Linked DNA regions of Oryctolagus cuniculus. The protein of the gene in region 2 purifies or fractionates together with the protein of the main gene of each other region. This does not show direct contact. Links are inferred from orthologs where the notes say so. Each region holds a gene or a part of one and is shown on either strand. Other genes may lie near its edges. The genes, in order: PPP6R1, ANKRD52, PPP6R2 and PPP6C.

Evidence for each region.
Region 1: the proteins of ANKRD52 (region 2) and PPP6R1 purify together in Homo sapiens (co-immunoprecipitation; 3 studies listed by BioGRID and IntAct, with this or other methods). This does not show direct contact. The link is inferred for Oryctolagus cuniculus from reciprocal best matches to the Homo sapiens genes ANKRD52 and PPP6R1.
Region 3: the proteins of ANKRD52 (region 2) and PPP6R2 purify together in Homo sapiens (affinity purification with mass spectrometry; 3 studies listed by BioGRID and IntAct, counting the BioPlex papers as one, with this or other methods). This does not show direct contact. The link is inferred for Oryctolagus cuniculus from reciprocal best matches to the Homo sapiens genes ANKRD52 and PPP6R2.
Region 4: the proteins of ANKRD52 (region 2) and PPP6C purify together in Homo sapiens (affinity purification with mass spectrometry; 6 studies listed by BioGRID and IntAct, with this or other methods). This does not show direct contact. The link is inferred for Oryctolagus cuniculus from reciprocal best matches to the Homo sapiens genes ANKRD52 and PPP6C.

The regions. Positions count from the first base shown.
Region 1 is NC_091449.1:3,650,470-3,654,034, forward strand, and holds part of PPP6R1 (serine/threonine-protein phosphatase 6 regulatory subunit 1), read left to right. Parts: intron 1-1,260; coding exon 1,261-1,318; intron 1,319-1,402; coding exon 1,403-1,578; intron 1,579-3,565. UniProt on the Homo sapiens protein: Regulatory subunit of protein phosphatase 6 (PP6). May function as a scaffolding PP6 subunit. Involved in the PP6-mediated dephosphorylation of NFKBIE opposing its degradation in response to TNF-alpha.
Region 2 is NC_091442.1:59,055,462-59,057,806, reverse strand, and holds part of ANKRD52 (serine/threonine-protein phosphatase 6 regulatory ankyrin repeat subunit C), read left to right. Parts: intron 1-93; coding exon 94-165; intron 166-414; coding exon 415-616; intron 617-807; coding exon 808-895; intron 896-974; coding exon 975-1,092; intron 1,093-1,615; coding exon 1,616-1,835; intron 1,836-1,981; coding exon 1,982-2,069; intron 2,070-2,187; coding exon 2,188-2,271; intron 2,272-2,345. UniProt on the Homo sapiens protein: Putative regulatory subunit of protein phosphatase 6 (PP6) that may be involved in the recognition of phosphoprotein substrates.
Region 3 is NC_091442.1:123,354,500-123,358,064, reverse strand, and holds part of PPP6R2 (serine/threonine-protein phosphatase 6 regulatory subunit 2), read right to left. Parts: intron 3,538-3,565; coding exon 3,472-3,537; intron 1,469-3,471; coding exon 1,356-1,468; intron 1,033-1,355; coding exon 919-1,032; intron 1-918. UniProt on the Homo sapiens protein: Regulatory subunit of protein phosphatase 6 (PP6). May function as a scaffolding PP6 subunit. Involved in the PP6-mediated dephosphorylation of NFKBIE opposing its degradation in response to TNF-alpha.
Region 4 is NC_091432.1:229,001,586-229,005,947, reverse strand, and holds the start of PPP6C (serine/threonine-protein phosphatase 6 catalytic subunit), read left to right. Parts: upstream 1-1,504; 5' UTR 1,505-1,722; coding exon 1,723-1,797; intron 1,798-1,868; exon of another isoform or gene 1,869-2,441; intron 2,442-4,362.

The DNA.
Region 1 (3,565 bases), on a different chromosome or scaffold from region 2:
CTCCCTCTCAGTGTTAGGAATATGAGTTTTTTCCTGTTTCCCAGATTTCCTGCCATAAGCAGTCTGACCAAAAAAATTTAACATCCATTAACTTTTTGTGAACTAAGTACTAAGCTGTCATGTGGTAGAGACAGGCAGTGAAGAAGGAATGGCCACTGGGGTCTGGGTGGGTTGTGGCCGGGGGCTCCGAGTTCAGCTCGGGCCCGGGTCACAACTTTGCTGGACCTGGTGCACGGGTCAGTGCCCTGTGGGGTCGTGCTGTTCGCTTTGCAGAAGTGCAGCCCCTGTCCAGTCTGCACCGGCATTGCAAATCCCCGCTAAAGACAAAAGGCGGAGCCAGGAGAGCGAGACACAGCCTGGCGTCAGCGAGTTTGGAAGGGTTTTACTTGCCTTTTTTTTTTTTTTTTTTTTTTTTTTTTGACAGGCAGAGTGGACAGTGAGAGAGAGAGACAGAGAGAAAGGTCTTCCTTTTGCCGTTGGTTCACCCTCCAATGGCCGCCACACCGCACTGATCCGATGGCAGGAGCCAGGAGCCAGGTGCTTTTCCTGGTCTCCCATGGGGTGCAGGGCCCAAGCACCTGGGCCATCCTCCACTGCACTCCCTGGCCACAGCAGAGAGCTGGCCTGGAAGAGGGGCAACTGGAACAGAATCCAGCGCCCCGACCGGGACTAGAACCCGGTGTGCCGGCGCCACTAGGCGGAGGATTAGCCTAGTGAGCCGCGGCGCCGGCCGCCTTTTTCTTTGATTTCTGTTCCAGTTGCCCTTGGGCAAGACTTAATTACCAATGTAAATGGACAGATAGATGGAGAACAGGTACACGTTTGGTTGTTTCCAGTGACTTACATTGCCTAAAGTGACCACAAACACTGAACTGGCACAGCCTGCACCCTGTTCCCTGGGGAAATTTCTGGAAGTATGTAGAATGGTGCAGACCGTTCATGGAAGTGGATACTGCGACTCTGGCTTGGCGTGTTAGCACCCTGCCCGAGGATGCCCACAGCCTGGTGCCAGCATGGGATGCCAGCTCAGCAGGGCTAGCCCGAGCCGGGGCTTCTTGTGTGGCCATCCCTGTTGTCCCCATGCTCTGGACACCTGTAGCTAAGTGTGTATCAGGCAGCTCTGCAGACGGCCGGTGCTGCAGGTATGACGTGTGGGATTCCAAATGCATTGCAGGGAATAGTGGGATTCCCAGCTAGTGGGGTTGGCTGTGTGTTGGCTGCTGCACTTTGGTCACAGTGCGTCTCCACCTGTTCTCCTAGCGCACCTTTCGACAAGACTGCCAACATCACCTTCTCTCTCAACGCTGACGATGAGAACGTGAGTGCCGCCTGTCCCTGGCCGGGCGGGGAGGGGTGCAGGGGCTGCAGGTGATGTAGCCCTTCCTTCACCCTGTACCTGTAGCCCAACACCAACCTGCTTGAGATCTGCTACAAAGACCGCATCCAGCAGTTCGATGACGAGGAGGAGGAGGAGGAGGAGGAGGGCCAGGGCTCGGGGGAGTCGGATGGAGAGTACGGTGCCTGGCGGGGCAGCCAGCTGGCACGGGGGCCCCGTGGGGGCCAGCCCCCTGGTGTTCGGTGAGTACCCTCCAGACAAGCCTGGACCAAGATGGAGTGGACGAGAAAGAGAAGATGCATTGGTGTGTGTGTGAGAAGTGCTTTTGATTTTGAGTGACAGAAACCAGTTCCAATGAGAAAGGGGCCGGAGGAGCGGAGTGGTCCCTGGGAAAGCAGGCGGGCCCTGCAGCTGCAGCCCGTCCGGCCGCGCCCTGCCTCTGGCTCCCCAGGGCAGCTCTCACGTTTTCCCATGAGCAGCACCTCTTTCCCTGCTTCCCTCTGCAGTCAGGGTGTCGGTTGTCTGTGCAGACTGACTGGCCCTGGAGTCATTGTGAGTAGGGGGTTCATGCCACGTCTGCTTGCTGGCGGGAACCAGCTCACAGCCTGCGGTTCCGCCTCTGCCTTGTGACTTCTGGGTGGGGAATTAGGGAATTTTAGCTTTCTTACTGAAGTGCAGCGTGTACAGGCAAGTGCGCGAGTTCTGAGTGTCCAGCCGGATGGACGCCTCTGTTACCACCGTGATCCTGCAGTGGGACCATCCCAGCACCCGCTGTACCCCAGCTGGCCCCGTCCTCCACCCTGGGGTAGTGCTGTCCTGACTTCTGGGTCTGGCTCTTTCTCCGCACTCCGTGCAGGAGGCCCAGCCTTCTAACTGGCGTGCTGGCGTCTTGCTCACTCGCAGCCGCAGCCGGAGGCGCTGTGCCGGCACGTGGCCGGGCAGGTTCTGTGGTTTCACGCTGAGAGTGGAGCTGCAGTGAATGCCCTCACACATGTGTGCACAGATGTGTGTCATTCCAGATCCGACACAGTGTCTTACTCCTATGTTTTCTGTCAGAAATTTTTTAAAAGATTTGTTTATTTTACTTGAAAGAGTTAGAGAGAGGCAGAGGCACAGAGAGAGAGGGCTTCCATCTGCTGGTTCACTACCCAGATGGCTGCAATGGCTGGAGCTGGGCTGAAACAAAGCCAGTAGCTTCCTCCAGGTCTCCCATGTGGGTGCAGGGTCCAAGGGCTTGGGCTAGCTTCTTTTTCTTTTTTTAAATGTGCTTGGTCTTATTTTATTTTTAAATCTTAGCTTCTTTTTTGTTAAGATTTTGTTCATTTATTTGAAAGGTAGTTACAGTCAGAGAGACAGAGAAGTCTTCTATCCACTGGTTAAACTCCCCAGATGGCCACAACAGCTGGAGCTGGGCCAGTCTGAACCCAGGAGCCAGGAGCTTCTTCTGGGTCCCCTACACAGGTTCAGGGGCCAAAGCACTTGGGCCATCTTCTACTGCTTTCCCAGGCCACAGCAGAGCTGGATTGGAAGTGGAGCCGCTGGGACTTGAACCGGCACCCATATGGGATGCCGGCACTGCAGTTGTCAGCTTTATCCACTACGCCACAGCGCCGGCCCCTGGTTTTTTGTTTTTTTTTGTTTGTTTGTTTTTGTTTTTTTTTTTTTGTTTTTTTTTTTTTTTTTAAGATTTATTTACTTGAAAGGCAGGGTTACAGTTACAGGGCGAGAGAAAGAGAGCAAGGTCTTCCATCTGCTGGTTCACTCCCCAAATGCCACAATGGCCTAGGCTGGGCCAGGCTGGAGCCAGGAGCTTCTTTTGGGTTCCCAATGTGAGTACAGGGGCCCAAGTACTCAGGCCATCGTCTACAGCTTTCCCAGGTACATTAGCAGGGAGCCGGATCAGAAGTGTAGCAGCCAGAACTCTTAGCTGGTGTCTGCATGGGATGCTGGCGCTGCAGGCGGCAGCTTTACTCGCTACGCCACAGCGTTGGCCCCTCCTTCTTTTTAAGATTTATTTGTTTTGAAAGAGTTAGATAGAGGGAGAGACAGACAGCGAGAGCTCTTCCATGTGCTGGTTTACTCCGCAGTGCTGAGGCAGACCGAAGCCAGAAGCCATGAGATTATTCTCTGGGTTATCTTCCACTGTTTCTCCCAGGCCATTAGCAAGCAGAGAGCAGACAGGAAGTGGAGCAGCCAGGGCTGGAAGCGGCGCCCACATGGGATGCCGGC
Region 2 (2,345 bases):
CCAGGAGCTTAGAGATGACTGTCAGTGGGGCGGCAGGGGACTGATACCTTAGGAGCTGCCGAACCTCAGCGCCTGTTTTCCTGTCCATTGCAGCTCTTAGAAATGTCCTTTAACTGCCTGGAGGATGTGGAGAGCACCATTCCAGTCAGCCCTTTGCACTTAGCTGTGAGTCCCCAGTCTTTTCTTCTTGCCGTCCCTGCCCCACCTGCTCTCAGGCTCGCGTAAGGGTGACCCAATCACCTGATCCTTGCGTCTGCCTTCTTGTGGGGAAGGGCACAATGCAGGGGGAGAAGCCCGAGGGGCCTGGGGAGCTGTGGAGGACTAATGCCTAGAGTGTCTCCATGGGCTCCCAAGGCACAGTAGGGCCAGGTGTGTGTCTCGAGCTGCATCTGTTGGTTGCCTGCACACCTCTAGGCCTATAACGGTCACTGTGAAGCCCTGAAGACGCTGGCGGAGACGCTGGTGAACCTGGATGTAAGGGACCACAAAGGCCGGACCGCGCTCTTCCTGGCCACTGAGCGAGGCTCTACTGAGTGTGTGGAGGTACTCACGGCCCACGGTGCCTCCGCCCTCATCAAGGAGCGTAAGCGCAAGTGGACGCCCCTGCACGCTGCTGGTTAGTGCCCGCTTCCTGAACAGTTAGGCCTGGGAGAGGGCTGGGGCAGGGCGGATGTAACCATGTGTCCTGATTCATAGCTTCCTGTCTCCAGAGTGTCTCGCTGCCCCAGGTCTTCCCGTAACCTTGACCCTTGCAGCCTTGAGGCTCGAGCTGACCCTGCCCTGATGCAAGCTCCCTTTTGTCTCTAGCTGCCTCTGGCCACACTGACTCCCTGCACTTGCTGATTGACAGTGGGGAGCGAGCTGACATCACTGATGTCATGGATGCCTATGGACAGTGAGTGTGGGCGGGGGGTGGGATGCAGGTGTTCCCACCCGTGCTGGACCCTCACCCTTTCTCCTGCCCCCCTCTGTAGAACCCCACTGATGCTGGCCATCATGAATGGCCACGTGGACTGTGTACATCTGCTGCTAGAGAAAGGATCCACAGCCGATGCTGCTGACCTCCGGGGCCGCACTGCCCTCCACCGTGGGGTGAGAGCTCCTGGGCGGGTTGCTCACAGGCAGGCCTCGATGTGGCAGCACAGCGCCCCCCAGCAGCAGGGCATCGGACTGTGTAGGAGGCGGGCCAGGCTTTCACACAAGGGTGTGCCTGCTGCAGGATGAGTGGCCACCGTCCCCAGCTGACTGCCCTGCTTTGTAATCACACATGAGCACAGGCCCACCACTCAGACTACTGTGCCCTCAGACAGTGCGGCCATCACCCAGGTCCTTCTCACGACCACTGTCCCAGAGCTGCCTCCTCCTCCCCCAAGATTCCCACCCCCTCGGTCCTTTCTTGGCTCTGCATTCAGTGTCTCACTCCAGAGCTGCGGGGTGGACTCTGGCCATCCTGATGGCTGTTGACACAGAGACACAGGGAAGGAGATGCTGGTGCCTAACACCTGGGCTGCCTGTTGTGCATCAGGGATTGGAGCCCTGGAGGTGGTTCCTGCTCCTGGCCGGCAGAAAGGGAAGGGCTCCTCACCCCGACTCTCGCCCCTGTGTCCCCCCACAGGCAGTGACTGGCTGTGAGGACTGCCTGGCTGCCCTGCTGGACCACGATGCGTTTGTGCTCTGCCGAGACTTTAAGGGCCGCACGCCCATTCACCTGGCCTCAGCCTGTGGCCACACAGCAGTCCTGCGGACACTACTGCAGGCTGCCCTGTCCACAGACCCCCTGGATGCTGGGGTGGATTACAGCGGATACTCGCCCATGCACTGGGCCTCCTACACTGGTATGGCCTGGGCCTCCGGTAGGCTCAGAATGTGTGTGCGATGTAGAGAGGGTGGGCTGTGGGGAGCCTGCGCTGAAGCGGGCCTGGAAGTGGAGTGGAGCGCCCCTGCCTTTTCTCTGTTGTCACCCTTTCGTCCTCGTCCCCAGGACATGAAGATTGTCTGGAGTTGTTACTTGAACACAGCCCATTTTCGTACCTGGAAGGAAACCCCTTCACTCCTTTGCACTGTGCAGTGTAAGTCCCTGTGCACTGTGGGCTCCCCGCCTCCGGGGGCGCGGGGGCTGTGACCTGCGTCAGCATAGGAAGGCCACTTCCCTTGCCTTCCTGGTGACCCCTGCTCCCTCTTCCCTAGAATTAATAACCAGGACAGCACCACAGAGATGCTGCTGGGAGCTCTGGGTGCCAAGATTGTGAACAGCCGAGATGCCAAAGGACGGTGAGTGAGGGACGGTTCGCGGAGGAGCCCGGGCACCTGGGGTTCCTGTTTGCTCAGGCACAAGGGCATGCCCC
Region 3 (3,565 bases), about 64 Mb from region 2:
CAAACAAACTTCTCTGAGATATTTATGTGAACATTTTTTTTCCAATTACAGAAGTAATACATGGCCATTATAGAAAAAAATTTAGAGCTGTGGTACAGTAGGTAAAGCTACCACCCATGACACCGGCAGCCCATATAGATGCCGATTCTTGTCCTGGCTGCTCCCCTTCCAATTCAGCTCCCCGTTAATGGCCTGGAAAAAGCAGTGGAAAATGGCCCAAGTACTCCCACCAAGTACTCCCTCTCCCTCTCCCTCTCCCTGTCCCTGTCCCTGTCCCTCTCCCTCTGTAAATCTGACTTTCAAATAAATAAACAAATCTTTTTAAAAATTAAATATGGAAAAGGATTAAAAAGTAAAGAGAAACAGCTGGTTTCTCTCTGTTCTAATTTTTAAGCTTTCCCTTCTGTCACAAGCAGGGTTGGGCTCAGCACCCAGACGTGGCCCAGACCTCTTGCTTTTATGAAGAGTTAAAAAAAAATCAGTAGAAACCATGATTAGAATGTCTTAATTCTACTTTTAGGTAAGACACTAATAAATGTGTACTAGATAATACCAAAGAGGAACAGTTGGTACTTTAGCCACCAAGATTAAGTCAATTTCTTGCCACTTTCCTATTGTCTTTTTTTCTTTATAAAAATGCACAGGCTATTGGTCCCAGCACACAGAAACAAGGGACAGCGGTCACCCTGAGAGAGCAAGGCCATTGCCACAGCATGTAATGGGACAGGGCAGACAGAAACATTGTATACGCAGCATGGCCTCCCAACTGCACAGCAGCATCCGCAGACGGCGCGCACAGGCCCAGGGATGCTGGTGCCGGTCCTGCTTGCGCCCACTACTGGAGCACACTCCACAGGTCTCCCAACCACACCTCCTGTCTGAAACGTCAAACAACTCTCATTTTCCCTTGGGACTCACCCAGCCCGCCTGGTTTCCAACAAGGTGAGCAACACCTGGGTCCCACTGACGAGGCAGCTCTCGGTGTGGTCCCCATCAAACATGTTCTTCAGAAGCTGCTCCACGCAGTCCTGCCTGCGGACCCACACGAGGTCACTGCCACGCAGAGGAGGTGAGGACAGCCCCTTCCCCTCGCGCGGAGGACCCGGCTACACCCTGGATCTGAGGGCTCTCACTCCAGCCTACCTGGGTTCAAGGCAGGTGCCCAGGTTCACAGTTCATCCCTTCCCTGTTGGCCCCACCTCTGGATCTGCCAGGAGACCCCTCCCCCAAGAAAAAGGCCCATCAAATTAACTAGGCTCCGAATCTGGGGAGTGTTTCACAGCCAGCCCAGCAGAGTGCCATCAGAGCAGGGTCTCAGAGAGAGGCCCACCACACCACAGCCCACCAGCACTCACGACTCCAGCGCTGTGAGGAGGGGGTCTGGCTCCGTAGCCTCTTGCAGCTGACTGCCCTGGTCTCTGCCCAGCCTAATGATGTCACAGAGAGTCTGAGACGCATTCGACTGCCTCTGGAAGACAAGGGAGACACAGCCCTCAGTGCCCGGGAGAGACGACAGCAGCGCCAGCCCTGCTGCTGCCCCTGACGGAGCTGCCTCGTCGAGAGCAGCTCCACAAAGGCCCAGACCCCGGTCTGTGTCAGAGAAGCCGCGTCCATCTTTCCCGTCTCCAACGTGGAGACCCGGCTAAGTTTTCAGCTGTTCTGAGCCATCCCCAGGAATTCTGATGCAGTGCAACACAGATCTGCTCTCCACCTCTGACCCACGCTCGGAGAGACACTGAACATGCAGCCTTGTCACGATTCTGCGTTTTAAGCGTGACAAGGAGCCACTATCAGCGAAAGCAGGGAAGCTGCTGCAGAGGAAGGGGAGCACCAAACCTTCCAGCCCCTCCCACCCTGCAGCTGTGCAATCCGAGTCAAATATGCACTTGCTGGCAATGGAGGCGTGTTCCGTGGGGGAGGTGGGCATGGCTGACAGGATAACCCCCTTCCTGGGCACTGGTCTGAGGAGGAGACACATGGTCGACTGCTTTAGGAAAAAACGAAAGCAAGTTGGTTGGTTCTGTGGTGTGGCCTTGAGCCCACCTTTGAGACAAGGGACGGACCATTACACTCACACCTGCAAGTGGTCTCCACCCTGGAACAGGGCAGCCGCCTTGCTTCCCACAGGTGCCAACAAGGCCCTACCCAGCTGTCTGGCCAGGCCCCGAGCACTGACACAGAACAAAGCAGAGTGGCCAGGCAGCTGTGACAGCTTCAGACATGAGTCAGTCAGCACCAACTGTTTTCTTTTCTTTTCTTTCTTTTTTTTTTTCTTTTCTTTCTTTTCTTTCTTTCTTTCTTTTTTTTTTTTTTTTTTTTTTTTGACAGGCAGAGTGGACAGTGAGAGAGACAGAGAGAAAGATCTTCCTTTTGCCATTGGTTCACCCTCCAATGGCCGCCGCCGCACTGCGGTGATCCGATGGCAGGAGCCAGGTACTTATCCTGGTCTCCCATGGGGTGCAGGGCCCAAGTACTTGGGCCATCCTCCACTGCACTCCCTGGCCACAGCAGAGAGCTGGCCTGGAAGAGGGGCAACCGGGACAGAATCCGGCGCCCCAACCGGGACTAGAACCCGGTGTGCCGGCACCGCAAGGCAGAGGATTAGCCTAGTGAGCCGTGGTGCCGGCCCAGCACCAACTGTTTTCAAACTTCCTGAGGACTGTGCATGTGCGTGTGTCTATGTGTAAATATCTGTAACACAAAAAAGAAGGTCTATCAGGATTTGCAGGGAGAGGGCAGCTGAGACAGGAGGCCCCGTGTCACCTTGCATGCTTCCAGATCTATGGTGAACAGTTTCTGGGAGGCCGCCAATGAGCCCCTCCCCAGTTCCCCGCACTTCAGAATCCATGCCCTTGTCACCCTGTCTCCCTGCGTGCGGGCCACACGTACTCTCGTGCCTAAGGAGGGAGGGCACTGCTGAGATGAGTCTGCATGGCTTCCTCCTGCTCACGGGAGGAAGCCAGCGGCCACACAGGAGCCCTGTGGACAGGCACATGTGGCTCAGCGCTCAGAGCTGAGGGTGGCTTTGGCCAGCAGTCCCAGGGAGCAGAGTGCTGCAAAGCCTCTGTGTCCACAGAAGCAAGCCCTCCCAGGCAAATCCTGCAGCTAATTCCGGGATAATCTGCTAATCAACTACAGATAATTATATGAATAGATAACCAACAGAACTATTTTTATAATACAGACATTATTTTTAGTTGAAAAAACCCCAAGAACCTATAGGTTGGCACTTGAATAGAGGAAGAAAAGTAAACAGTAGGGGCTTCATGCGGGAAAGAAGGTGAGATGTGAGAGACTCGGACAAAGCTCCTGGCTCCTGGCTTTGGCCTGGCCCAGCCCTGGCTATTGTGGCCATTTGGGGAGTGCCCCAATGGACAGAAGATCTCCCTCTGCCTTTCATGTAAGTAAGTAAACATACACATACGTAAATAATATAACAAAGCAGGTGGGCTCTGTGAGCACCACACTCACATCCTCATCCTGACTCGGATGGATCAACTCCACAAGTCGCTGGATGATCTTCTCTTCATTCAGCCACTAAAAGGGACAAAACGTGTGTTAACAT
Region 4 (4,362 bases), on a different chromosome or scaffold from region 2:
CCCAGAGTGCTAGAGTGATCCTTCTACAACAAGCTACATCATTTTACTCCTGTGCTAAAAACCCTGCAATAGCAGTCCATTTCATTTAAAAGAAAAAAAAGCAGGGGCTGGCGCTGTGGCATGGTGGGTAAAGCCACCGCCTGCAGTGCTGGCATCCCAGATGGGTGCTGGTTCAAGTCCCGGCTGCTCCACTTCTGATCCAGCTCTCTGCTGTGGCATGGGAAGGCAGTGGAAGATGGCCCAACTGCTTAGGCCCCTGCACCTGTGTGGGAGACCAGGAAGAAGCTCCTGACTCCTGGCTTTGGATCAGAGCAGCTCCAGCCATTGTGGCTGATTAGGGGAGTGAACCAGCAGATGGAAGACCTCTCTCACTGTCTCTCTCTCTCCTTCTGTGTGTGACTGTGACTTTCAAATAAATAAATCCTTAAAAAACAAAACAAAAAAACACAGTATTCTTCTCCTTTTCTCTCTGATCTCTCCTACTCCTCTCACTTCTGCTCCAACCACACAAATCTTGCTGTTTCCCGAAGACTTTAGATAGGCGTCCACCTCAGGGCCTCCGCACCAGCTCCTCCCTATCATATCCCTCAGGTAGCTGCATGGGCAACTCCCCCACTTCTTAGATGGCTTTCAAAGTTCATGTCCTTACTCTGCCGCGTTGTTCCCCTAGCACACGTCACTTTCTCAAACGCTATGCATTGATGGCAGCGTGGTGTCTTCCCGTCCTAGCTGTCAACCACAGGCTGTGGACGCCCGTCTTTGTCTACTGTGTTGACTGCGTATCCCAAGCGCCTGCAGTTGTACCTGGCCCATGGCTGGTGTTTGGTAAACAGCTGCGGAATGACGAATGCCTCAATGAATGCTGAAGGCCTACTCAGTGCCAGGTGATCTTACTCGGTTGGGGACACAACATTAAACTCCCTCCCTCGTGGGACTCCCACGGAGGTCTGCTTAAGCCAGCTGACCTGTTTTCCAATGTTGACTCTACCGTTCGTTTCCGGTGACATGTGGGGCAAGTTACGTAGGGTCTCCAAGCCTTACCTTCCCAGCAATCATGAGAATTAATGGGGGAAGGGGAGTGGGGCGGGGAAGAAAACACAGAATAAAAGAACCCTTGCGGCATCCGGTACAAGAAACGCTTTGACATTTCCTTTCTCATCCTCAAGACCAGACGACTGGGAGTTCGGCTTCTCCGCCACAGGTTTAACCGAGGTTTTTGCAAAACCTTGGAAAGGCGCAACCAGGCTACTACGGGCAGGCTTACCCAATTTCTAACTGAGGATGTCCTGTTGAGAGAGGGCCTAAAAGGGTCGCAACGAGAAGCCACAGAACGCTCAGGTCACCTACTTCGCCGTTTTGCCTCCGATAAGCCTTGCCGGGTCTCCAGGGGTGAAGTACCGGGAAGAGGAGGAAAAAGAGAAGCCGGCTCCAACTGAAAACTACAAATCCCAGCAACCCCCGCGGCAGGCAACTACGGGTCCCAGCAGGTTTCGCGGGCGGAATTGAGGGGACCTCTTCGGGCTGCAGCCTGGGATCAGTCAGCGAGGGCGCGGGACGTGCGGGGGCGGCGCGGAGAATCCGGTCAAGCTTTAACGTCGCTGCGCAGACGCCACTCACGGGCCGGACGTGACGTAGGGAGAGTTCCGGCTTCGGCCTCCGCCGCTGCCGCCGCTAGTACCGTCGCCGCCGCCGCCGCCGCCGCCGCGGCTTGTTCCTCCTAAAATGGCGCCGCTAGACCTGGACAAGTATGTGGAGATAGCGCGGCTGTGCAAGTACCTGCCAGAAAACGACCTGAAGGTGAGCCCGGCCGGGGCGGGAGTGCCGCTTGCGGGGCTCGCCCCTTCCGGCTGTGGGGCGCCCGCCGGTCCGCCCTTCCTCTCTCCGCGGGACCCCTGCCGGGTGTCCAGTCCTGTCGCGGTGGAGAGCCCTCCGCGGTGGGAGGCGACCCTCGGGCTCGGCGTCACGCGGGGAGACGGGAGAGCCCGAGTGCCCGGATGCTGTCCTGGCTTCCCCCGCCGGGGATCCCGAGGGCTGTCGCGGGCTCTCCTCCGGGGTCGCCCCTCCTGGCCTGCGGGCTGCCCCTGGACGCGGAGCCGTTACAGCTTCGCCGGGAAGACCCCGCTCTTCCCCAGCCGCAGCGCCGAGCCCCGGAGCCGGAGTCGAGCCCCAGCGGGTGGTGCTCCCCGGAGGTGACAGGAGCGCGGGTGGCCGGCTCCCGGGGTCGCTGAGGTCCGGCGGGGCGGCGGGGCCCGAGCGGAGTAAGAGGACGTCGTGTCCCTCCGTACGCCGCTCCACATTGCTCCTTGGGCGTGCTGGCTCTCGTGCCAATTCAGCTGGGAATCCCGGTCTGTGGCGGTGTTGGGTAAAGTGTGCAGATACCAGTAGCTTGCTCGCCTGGAAGTCGTGCCCCCGAAACCCACTTCTTGGCTTTTTGGAAGAAGGTGACTTTTTGCTTGTTATTGCCCGAGTGGTGGGATTGTGTGTGTGGGTGCAGGAGTCGGGGTCGGATAATTTTGGAAAAGCGTTTCTGTGCTTTGTTGAAACCAGTGCTTGGGTTTCCAGCAGCGGTTACCCGCTAGTGCCGGTGTCTCATTTGTTCTGTTAACTTTGATGGGCTCTGTGCTAAGTGGGTAAGCTGTAAACGGTTCGAGTGCTTTTCATGCTTTCATTAAGCCGTGGGTTGTAAAGTTACAAAAGTAGATGTGACCGTGTTTGTGTTTTTGCTATATCCTTTGGTACCGGAAGTTGATATTTAACCTCACTCAACAAGTATGCAAAATTTTTCAGGTTCCCTGGCCTGATGTGAATATAAATGAATTGTATGTGCTTATGCTGGGATAATCACTCTCGTCCCCCCCCCCCCCATTTTTAATAGGATAGCTTCACTAAGGACAGCTTTTATTAATGGTAGTGTAGTGTTTCTGCTCCCAGTGCTTCAGACGCGTGCTGTGTAGCCAGCATTGGGAACCCGTTCATGGAGAACTGGCCAGGCCTCTGCTGGTAGCATTGTTCATCTTTTTGGTGAATTCATTGCATGTTAATGAATCGATGTGGAATTCTGTTTTCATTTGTTATGTTTAAAGCCGTTTTGTACTTTGTGATTTCAGTTTCAGAAAATATGTCTTGATATTACCTTGAGGTGGGACACAAATTACTTGAAAAACAGTTGGATTTTCTTTAGATCTCTTAGTCTGCTAAACGTTATCTGAAGGAAGTAATTATTAAACCATTTTATTTCCTGTTGAAACATAGTTGGACTGTATTTATTTGCATCTGATTCTTAATAAACTTTATATCTTCTGAGCAACTACTTAAATTCTGGATTTTTCTCTGTTAGAGACTTCTGTTTTGGAAAATTTTTTTTTTCTTTCTTTTTTTTTTTTTGACAGGCAGAGTGGACAGTGAGAGAGAGAGACAGAGAGAAAGGTCTTCCTTTTGCCGTTGGTTCACCCTCCAACCCTCCAATGGCCGCCACGGCTGGTGCGCTGTGGCCGGCGCATCACGCTGATCCGAAGCCAGGAGCCAGGTGCTTTTCCTGGTCTCCCGTGCGGGTGCAGGGCCCAAGCACTTGGGCCATCCTCCACTGCACTCCCGGGCCATGCAGAGAGCTGGCCTGGAAGGGGGGCAACCGGGACAGAATCCGGCACCCCAACTGGGACTAGAACCCGGTGTGCCGGTGCCGCAAGGCGGAGGATTAACCTAGTGAGCCGCGGCGCCGGCACCTCCAGAGTATTTAAAGAAATTTAATTTATGTTTCTTTTTCTTGGCATGAAGTACAAACTAAAAATAGGCAGACCAAAAAATACTCTAGGAGCACCTTTGATGCTTTCAAGTCAGTAGAAAATATTCTGTTAGAGGATGGAAAGAATTAATTGGGGCCACTTAATGAACATGATGGAAGAGACTTGTTTGGGTAGAAAGGAAAGTAAATTTTTATTTGTATTTTAAGTTTATTAGAAGTTAGAGGTGCAACATTAAATAATAAATACATAGGATGTTCAGGTGTGATAACAAGTTCTTTATAACTGAATTTGAAATGGTCAAAATACTAGTACCAGGTCGAATCTGCCTGTTTTGAGGGAATAAGAATAAAGTACCTGAGAGTGAGTGGACAACAGAGCTCAATAGATGGTTTAGATTTCATAAGTTGCTAAGTGAAAGAAGGAGTGATAAAAGTCTAGTTTGGTGCTCGCTTTGGCAGCACATATACTAAAAGTCTAGTTTGCTGAATATGTAAGTACTTTTGGAGGAGAGAGTCTATAACTTGAAGGTTGTCTGAATTTTTAGAAAATTTTTTTTTCAAGATTTATTTACTTATTTGAAAGAGTAACAGAGAGACAGAGATACACAGAGAGACACCTT